2 linked regions of the Caenorhabditis elegans genome follow. The protein of the gene in region 1 interacts with the protein of each later gene in a pairwise test. Each region holds a gene or a part of one and is shown on either strand. Other genes may lie near its edges.

Region 1 (6,078 bases):
AGTTTATTCTTTCGGCGAATTCTCTCCCGTGCACTGAGCAATTGCTTCGAAGAGGTGTCCAGAGTTGCGGAGAGCATCCAGCTCAGTGTATCCACCGATGAAACGACCGCAGACAAAGATCTGAAAGAAATTTATTTGAAAAACTTTAAAATTCGGATTTTTTTAAATTTTATGGAAAATTCTATACCTAGCCGTTTTCAGATTAAGATTAAGATTAAAACAAATTTTGCAAAAAAAATATCTATCGAACCTGTGGCACACTGGTCTGTCGTGTAGTATATACAAGTCCATTGACAATTCCCAAATAATCATCCGGTTGAGATGCCTTCAAAGTGTCCAAATTCACTTCTTTATAAGCAACACGAACATCGGAAAATAGATCTTTTGCTCGATTACAGAATGTGCATGATGTTTTTGTGTACATCACAACTGGATCCTTTTTCACCTGTAATCGATTTTTTAAATTCCAAAAAAGTTTCCATTTATTTACAAAGTTCTAAAAATTATTAGACAGTTTCAAAATAAAACGCTTTAATAATTCAAACATTTATTTAAAAAATACATTAAATTGAAGTTTATTTTTCTGAATTATTATTTTTAGGAATTCACAATCTGTTTTCAGAAGATTTTTTTGTTTTTCTCTAAAAAATGTACCTGTTCCTGTACAACATCAACATTGACTTTTGAGGTGACTCCTCCCATTTTTGAAGTATGGAGCTGGAAAGAAAGAGCCAAATATTCTATTTTTAATCAACATTTTTCAAAAAAATATATTGGGAATAAAACCAATGGTACATATTGAAAAATCGGGTAGAAATTTTGAAAAAATCAAAGATATATTGAGAAAACATTTTTAGAAAAAAAAACGATATTTAAGAGATCACACGAAAAATGGAAAAAAATCAGGAAAGATCGATATGCTTAAGAAGCAGGCTAAGTTGTTCTTTAATACTCTTCACATCATCAACATAGTGAGCTTCAGTGTTCAGACGATCCTCAATTTGTCTGGCAACTTCTGTACTTGATTCGGAATCTTCTGGAGCAGCAATTCCAAAAAGTGCAGTGTGTCGTGGATAGTCGGCGGGAATTGAGATATAAGCAGTGAGTCTGGAATATTATTTTAATATAGAATCTGTTTATCGAAAATCTCAAGCAATTATAAGTCTCGAAAAATAATTTTTGTAGCAATTTTGCAAAATTAGTCTAGAAAAATTGGAAAATTTCGATATCTTTCACAGTTAATTTTAACAGATTTGAAAAACTTGATATTGAATTTTTCATTGTATACTTACGAAAAAACGTTTCATATTTCGAAAAGTTTAATGTTTTTATTTTTTTCGAATTTTTCAAAAATTACTTTCTGCCATTTCCATCGGAAGCCTCAATTTTATATGAAAATCTGTCGGTTGCTGCGGAATTTGAAATTTTCTTCGTAAGGCTTGTTGGAATTGAAGCAATAAAAGATTCATCATCACAAATCTTGAAGGAATTAATTTTCACTTCTGGTTCCAAATTCAAATCGTCAGTTTTCTTAGATTCCAAATCTCGAATAATTCCATCAAGTACTGCACGATTGGATATTCTCGTTCTAATCGTTGTGATCACTTTTCTCAAATGCTCTGTTGCTCCAATTCGATCAGTTTCGCCTTCGGATCCACTGATTTCTTGAATAAATTTGAACGGTTTTCCGATTTGTTTTGCACTTGAGTTGAAGTTCATTCTGTAACTTGATGGCGGTTTGGATTGAAATTTTTGAAAAAAAGTGTTTTAAAAATTATATTTTTGCCGTTCTAAATAAATCCGAGGGTCTTCAAAAATTTTTGAAGCTACAATATTTAATATTTTCAGTAAAACAATTTTTCCTCCATTTTTCAAACGGAACAACGTTGTTGAAGTTTGCAATAAAATTACGGAAATTTGTTTTTCAGATATAATGTATAAAATTAGTTTAATACATAAGTTATAACTATTCGAAATTCAAAAAATTAAATATTCTGTAAAAATTGGCATATTTTTTGAACTTTTCAAACGATATTCTCTATTTTATGATAATACAGATATTTTAAGTAGATTTTCATATTTTAATATTTATTTCTTACTTCAAATGTTCAATCTTCATTTCTCCAACATCATTTGGACACTTGTCTCCCGTATCATTTTCGAATAAATCTGACATCAGTGAGTCAATCGAGAAAAACGGTGATTTTTTGAGCTTTGAGTCCGTATTTATATGCCATTTCGCAGTTGTCACTTTAAGTTCTGTCAGATACTGAATTTGCATTGAAATTTTAATATTTTCAGAGCATTCAATCTCAAATTCCAGGCTCATTGGATGAACTTCAAGCAGTTCTGAAGCCATTTTATTAATTTTTTCTTGAGTTGTTTCATCTTCTTTTCGTTTTCTTTTCATGGCTTCTGTTTCATCTTTCGATTGTTTTTCTGTGTCGTTTGTGCCAAGAATTCGGAATTCGAAGAGCTTGTCTGAAATATGGAAATTGTGAAAAATCTGATAGTTTCTGATTTTTGCATTCAAATGTTTAATCAATTTTGACCAGTTTTTTCAACATTTTTAATGGTAAATAATCTTTTAAAAAACTGCTTCAAAATTTAATTCGAGTAGATTTTTATCAGAAAATGGTCCATAAATTTTTCAATAGGGGTTTTCTATGTTTTCCTAGTTTGTCAAGTAAGTTTTAAGATTTTTAAGTTTTTTTTAAATTTAACAGAACCGAAACATTTGCTCAAAATTCGTTAAAATTATCTGTAAATCGATTGAAATTCCATTTATTTCGAGAAATTTTCAGATTTCTGAGAGATATTTCCTGATATTTTATATCTTGTTCGTACAGTTTTTGCTCTAAATCTTTGCAAAATGCCAGATTTTCGACAATATTTCGCTTTTAAAAATCTCAGTGAAATAATATCTAAAACCGCACATTTATACAAAAAATTTCGCAAAATTTTCGAATATTCACCATCATGAATTTCCTTATAAGCAGCAGCATGTATATGTGCAACAGCAAGTGGAGCCGGCAATTGCAATGAGAGCTTTCGCTGCTCCCCTTCAATCGATAAATCTTTGAATTTGGCGCCAACCATTTCGAAGACGGGCTCCGCAACTTTTGTGAGATCTTCAAGTTTTGGTTTAAGACCTTGAAGACGAACTTCTTTTCCACGTATGTCGCTTTGCAGTACGTTTCGACGACCCTCGAGCTCGTTGAGTGTAGAGAGAAGTCTGAAAAAAGATTTTAAAGAGATTTTTATTGAAAATCTCACAAACTCTCGTCTCTGCTCATTCTCGAACTTCAATCTTGCCAAATATTGTTCGTGCTCGTTATCAGCCGTCTCATTTGCAAGAATCTCCGACGCTTCAGTGTGAAATTGCTCGAAAGGGACCAACTCAAGCTCCTCATCACCGGCGCTAAAGTCCAAACAACGATCGATTTCTTTTTGAATGTGTTGCACCTCGCTAGTAACATTCTGTAACTGTAGAAGCTTCGCATCAACGTTCTCCATCCTCTCGGCCACCTCTTTTCGCATTAGGGCAGTTCCATAGTGGGTAAGTCGTGTATTTCGGCGTAAACGCGCGATTTTCGAGATAGTATCCGAGGATGTTGGCTGAAAAATCAATTATTGCTTTTAAATATTCAAACAGCTGCCTCCCTACCTTTCCATCCAAGTATTCTTCAACAGCATTTCTCAAAAATGCGTAATCTTGGAGAAATTCTTCGAAAATTCGATCGCTACCCATTTCCGTTGCAATTTTGTCTTCCAGATTGAACAGTTTCTGAATTAAAAATCGATAAAACCGTTAACAAACGCTTGTTGAAAAACCTCAGGGCTGTCCATTTTCGGCATATCAGTCAGGAGTTGTGTGGCTTTTTCAGATAATTTAATTTCCGGATTTTTCTTTTTCTGTTCTTCAACAAATCGCTTCACCGGGCGAACGTTTACAGACATTTTTTCGCTGAAAAGAAGAAGTTAATTTGAAAAAGTACAATAAAAAGTACAACAAAAATGCTGTCCGAGAGGAGTCCGCGGGAGATGGACGAAAAAGAAAGCTAGGCCACCGATGCGGAAAACTGGAGCGAAGTTTGAAAAATGTTTCTCTTTTGCGTCTTTCACGGCCTAATTCCGTGTTTCCGTAATAATACAACGTGGCCAAATTATTTACATCCTGAAAATCTTTTTAAAACCCGAAGATTGTTTTTTAAATTTCAAACAAAAAATATGTTAGTATGAACAAATTTTAACAAAAAAAGAAGATACAAAATTAATTAGAAATTCACGCAAACTCTTTTTTTGATAAATTTTATGCTCTTTGGAATTGCATTTACAGTGCTACAACTCTACAGTTCACCTACAGTACCCCTACCGTACCACTTGATATAAGCCAAAATCTCTCCTCTTACTTGGTAAAATTTGGTAACCTCAAATGTACTTAAATCAAGTTTCATTATGAAATTCGGTGTTTTCAGACAATTTTTTTTTGTCTGATGACTTTGACATTTATTATGGGTTTGAAGAGAGTTGAGAATTTTCATTGCAAATTTCTTAAAGTCGAAAAAAATTACTTGAAGTTTTCTAAATAATTATGAGAAATTCGATTTTTAGAGACGCGAAAAAACAATTTATTTATTTTTTAAAAATTACAAATTAATACATTTTTACATTAAAGTCTACTGATTTTATTAGATTTTTTGAAATCTGCAAAATAGTTTTCAAAATATCTTAAAACCACTTTTAATTTTTAAACTTTTTTTTGAATATCTTAAATTTCTCAATTGTACTGAGTTTAGTTTTTTCTTAATTTGAAAATTTCCTCTGCTATTTCTAAATTAATTCTGGATTTATCTTATTTTTAATTTTCCGTTTTAGAAAAAAAAAATCTCGAAATTATTTTCAGAACTAAACATGGATTAAAAATCCAAACCAATGACTGTATTCTCAATAGAATCTGTGCTCAGCCAATTTTCAATTAAGAAATTATGGGAAATTCGATCAAAAAATGAAGTATTACGGAATACCAGTGATAAAATGGATCCCAATAAAACAAAGTAATATTTTTTTCAATATTTGAATTTTTGAAAATAGATTAATAATCATAGATGTAAAAATCAATTATCGAATTTTCGATTTAAATTTTATCACTTTTTTTTCTGAAGTACAAGTAGACCAGGTTTTCCAAAATTAATAATTTTCAAAAATTCTCAAACGACTTTTTGAAAATTTTTCTTTCAAAAGAAAACTTTAGACTATCAGGAATGTATAGCTTTTTCAAAAATGAAAATGTTTTAGAAAATCAAACAATCGGTATTGGTAAAAAAGTTTAATTTTTTTCTCGAAAAATTGAGAACAAATTAATAGTGAAATCAATTTAAAAACTCGAAACTTGAGTTTGGTAAGATTGCAGGCCACCGAGAAATTTACAGTAACCAGAAAAACTGAAGCAGAAGAAATTAATTTTCTAATTGTTAATGTTACTTCCTCGGCAGTAACCCGCGGCGATAAATTTCTGAGTAGTTGTGCATGCGCGAACTGCCAGAAATGAAACAAATATTTTCTCCTTATCCAAAGTCTATCCAAGGTCTGTCAGCTCTTTGTAATGGCTAAAGATAAGCTGACAGACCTTGGACAAGGAGTGGGCAAACCTTGGTCAAGGAATTGCGGGCTACTGCCGAGTAGTAATTATAGAGTGGTTTATGGTTTTTTGAAGCTTTAGGTCAACGACTAAATTGAGTTGGCCTATATTTTCGTGTTTATTGAAACTTTGGCCATTAATTAAAACGACATCGTTTAGACATATAGATGTATTAAAAAATCTCCACCGGTGATGTTTGCATGGCCTAAGTTTTTGTATTTATGACAACTTAAGGTACCAATGGTATTGAGATGGTCTAGGGCCTTGTATTCAAAGAAACTTATAGGTCATCTATGTTATTCGTGTGACAGAAGTTTTCAATTTTTCCAGAACTACGAATCAGCTGAAAATGTGCCAGGAATCAATCGTAGTTTAATATTCTATACAATGGAAGAAACACTTGTGGAATCAATATTTGATGATCTTAAAGGAATGTA
Region 2 (3,845 bases), on another chromosome or scaffold:
AGACCCATCGTGGTGAGACCCATCGTGGTGAGACCCATCGTGGCGAGACCCATCGTGGTGAGACCCATCGTTGCGATACCCACCGTAGTGAGACCCATCGTGGCGATACCCGTCGTGGCGAGACCCATCGTGGTGAGACCCATCGTGGTGAGACTCGTCGTGGTGATACTCATCGTTGCGAGACCCACCGTGGTGAGACCCGTCGTGATGAGACCCATCGTGGTAAGACCCATCGTGGTGAGACCCGTCGTGGTGAGACCCATCGTGGTGAGACCCATCGTGGCGAGACCCATCGTGGTGAGACCCGTCGTGGCGAGACCCATCGTGGTGAGACCCATCGTGGCGAGACCCATCGTGGTGAGACCCATCGTCGCGAGACCGATGTCTGCTGCGCACTTAACATAAGGTTTCCCAAAATTTCGTTGCTCTGATCAAAGATCAAACTACATAGGGACAGAAGGACACGCGCTTTATATATAGTAAATGATTTTTCCATTCCCCACGATGCCCATTTTGTATTTCGTATATTTTCCTTCGGCAGGACTTCAAAAATCCCGCAAAATTATGTACAAAAAGTCACAATAAAAAAGTAAATAAATGTTCGAGAAAAGTGTTCATTGAAAGTGAGAGAAGTGAATCGCATTAGAGATCATTATCGACAGAAAAAGTATTTTCGCCCGCTTTTCTCCTTTTTTTTTCGTGTGTGTGTCGTGGTGGTGGCCGTCTGTCTACTTTCGGACATCATCCTCTTGTTGTTTTTCGGTGACTGAAGCTGCATCGTCATCTTCTCCTGGATTCGACATGACTTCCGCATCGTCGTCGTCGTCTTCTGAAACAAAAAAAAATAGGTGAACGATCAAAGAATGGGAATTCAAAGACGGAAAAGTGATAGATGACTGCCGTGGGAAGACTGAAATTACAACAAAAAATGAAGCAGAGTTCAAAGAATCAAACAGTGAGGCGATTTTACTGAATTTTTACAAAATTCACAGATCGATCGTTTGATTTCAACAGTAATTTCACGGCTTCAGCTCAACTTTCCGCAATGAATGCACACGAACCTGCACAAAAACGCTGAAAATTGGAGAGTATAATCATGAATGCTTGGAGATGATTTCTTCGATCCATAAGCTTCGCCTCAAGCACCTTCTGACGTTCGTGTTGTCGTTCCAAGTCATCTTTGACTTCTCCCAGTTTTCGTGTAGTTTCTGCTCGAGACGGTACTTCTTCTAGTACATTAACAAGTTTTCGGTATTCTTGACGGTTTCTAAATGATAAAATATTGTAAATTGGTTAACATTTTTCGGAAAATCGATTACCTTTTTACAATTTTCGCATCGGCCAACTCATTCTTTGCCACCTCCATCTTTTTGTACATTTCTTCGATCTGGAATAGAAATTAAATTTTTATAATTATCCTGTCTTATATTTAACGGCAATTTAACAAAATGACCTCTCGTTTTAACATTTTTCATTAAAAATTGGTGTCAAAATATAGAAAATTACTAGATTTATATGGAAATAACATCCATTTTGAAAAACAAAGCTCGCTAACTCTGTAATCGACAATTTTCAGGTCATTTACATTTCTGAGCACTTTCTCAAATATTTCAATTACAATGAACCTGATTTTCAGATAAATCAAGTGATTTTCTATCTTTTTGCACTAATTTTTAATGGAAAGATGGTGCAATATGTCTTTTTTTTCTCCATTGCCGTGTTTTCCTCTCCGTACCGATTGATCGATTTCCTCTGCAAACTGATCGCATTCAGTTGCATGAATCTTGTTCATATGGGATATTCTTTTCTGCTTCAACATCGACAACTCCAAAAACTCGAGCTGAAAACATACATTTTCACTGAACAAGATCTCCCCGGATCCTTACAGCTTTGGTAACCTTCACTGCTTCGGGAACAGAAGTCTTCGCATCCTCCTTTCTACTTTCACGGAAAAACGTGGCAATTTGCTGAACTTTACGATCATCGCCAACTCCTTCGCCGTCGGCCACAAGCTTTCGGAGCAAAGTGTCCTCTTTCATCTAAAGTCAGACATACAACTTGTTCACGCAACATGAGCCGAATGTTAATTCAAATATTCTGCACGGCGCATACTTCTACCAATTTTTTAATAAGTAAACAAAAACAGATGATATTAAAGGTAACAAAGTTTATCCGAATTAACAACAATTTAGGCCTTGGACTCGACGGACTTGTTGATCTGACGTTTGTTGTTCTTTCTGGAGAAACGGAGGTTCTTGATGAACTTGGCGTCGACTCCCTTCATGGAGAGGAAGATGTGCTTCTTTGGCTTCGTGATTCCATTACGGTGAGCCTTCTTGTCTGAAAATTAAATTATAAATATTCAATACTGTTTTTTTCTAGTTTTTATTTTAATGATTCATCCAAAAAAAAAATCGCTCAAATTCTTTAAGAATGCTTTTAAAAAGAGATTTCTCTACAGAAACTACTTTTATATCTGAATTTAAATACTCACTCTGGTTGTGATTGGTGTGGTTCTTGGACTTGGCCATGACGACAACGGTTAACCCTGAAAATGACGAGTTGTGATAGAAAAATGTGAATCAGTCAAAAAATCGATAACCAAACGACGAAAACGTGAATTTTTGGGACCATAAAAGAGAGATCTTACAAAATACATAAATTTTACTAATAATTCTCAAATTCAAAAAATTTAATCGCGAAAAAGAATCAAAAAAGGTTAAAAACTGTAGGATTTGGAAGAAAAATGAAAGAAAACGGAAAAGAACGCGGCTGGCGGATACGGTCACACTCGTTCAGCTGTGTGCAGTCGTGGCGAGACCCGCTACGGAGAGAGTGTGTGAAAAGAGGAGACGCCGACTAGTTTCGTGTCGATTTACGAGCTGAGGAATTTTTCATTTTATTTTCAGACTTTTCGAGCAATTTTCGGCTGAAACTAGGCGAATACTTTGAAAATTGTTTGTTAAATTGTTAAAAAGTGATTGTCTGTTAGTAGATTAAATGGTTTTTCTTTAAAATTTCGTCATTTAGCTTGTAGAATGATGTTTCTCACTTGTTTTCAAATAAATTTATTTTTAAAACTCTAATTTCACCGATTTTGCTCAGATTAAAAGTAAATCAGACAGTATACAATTTAATTTACTTTTGAGGCCAGAATTGATAAAAAGCCGCTACGGTTACCATCTTTCGTTGTATTTTCGTGCATGTCTCGACAAATTGCAGAATTATTTCGAATGTATTTTATTTATGTCAAAATTAAAAAGAATTGAGTTTATCGTCGGTTCATTCAATAAGAAGTATTCGGTGAGCAGCAAACGCAGAGTGGTTGTTTCTCAAGGACCATGTTGAACCCGATGATGGAGGCCTGAAAATAAATTTTTAAAAATATATTTTTTTCTACAGCTGTGAACGATCACCTCCTTGATGTTAGTTCCCTGGATTCTGGCGGCCATTTTGCAGCATTTATCACAGGAATCGTTCTTGTACGTGTCTTGGCAATAGTTCACCGTTGGACGGTAATCTGGAAAGAAAAAATCAACGGAATGGCAATTCATTGGAAAAAAATGAAGCAAAAAATACAAAAAACTAACGCTTTCCGCCCTGTCCGAAGAGTCCATAGTTGGCCTGGATTGTGCACACATAATCTGAAAAAAAAGTCTTGATTTTCCCTCATGATGCCCAGCATTTAGAAAAAACTAGGTGCTCGTGCAAAAGGTTAATAGCCACGTGTAGTGTGCCACATGAAACATGACGCTTTGGTCCGTCATGTGGTGCACGCGGGGGGAGCAAGCAGACGGGAAGTGCACAGAAAAACTCGGTTTTTTCACTTTAAAATCGTGATCTTT

The links.
Region 2: the proteins of thoc-5 (region 1) and thoc-7 interact in a two-hybrid assay, tested with the Caenorhabditis elegans proteins (one large-scale study listed by BioGRID).

What each region holds. Positions count from the first base shown.
Region 1 is NC_003281.10:5,345,401-5,351,478, forward strand, and holds thoc-5 (THO complex subunit 5), read right to left. Parts: upstream 4,002-6,078; 5' UTR 3,961-4,001; coding exon 3,835-3,960; intron 3,788-3,834; coding exon 3,668-3,787; intron 3,619-3,667; coding exon 3,281-3,618; intron 3,236-3,280; coding exon 2,976-3,235; intron 2,482-2,975; coding exon 2,100-2,481; intron 1,727-2,099; coding exon 1,358-1,726; intron 1,108-1,357; coding exon 903-1,107; 3' UTR 703-902; coding exon of another isoform or gene 655-702; 3' UTR 531-654; downstream 1-530. Other genes in the region: glrx-21 (Glutaredoxin domain-containing protein), read right to left, coding at 4-120, 251-445, 655-702.
Region 2 is NC_003282.8:13,880,928-13,884,772, reverse strand, and holds thoc-7 (THO complex subunit 7 homolog), read right to left. Parts: upstream 2,040-3,845; coding exon 1,887-2,039; intron 1,841-1,886; coding exon 1,736-1,840; intron 1,388-1,735; coding exon 1,320-1,387; intron 1,268-1,319; coding exon 1,062-1,267; intron 830-1,061; coding exon 729-829; 3' UTR 596-728; downstream 1-595. Other genes in the region: rpl-29 (60S ribosomal protein L29), read right to left, coding at 2,189-2,340, 2,495-2,531; B0513.4 (Transposase), read right to left, coding at 3,287-3,364, 3,417-3,520, 3,591-3,644.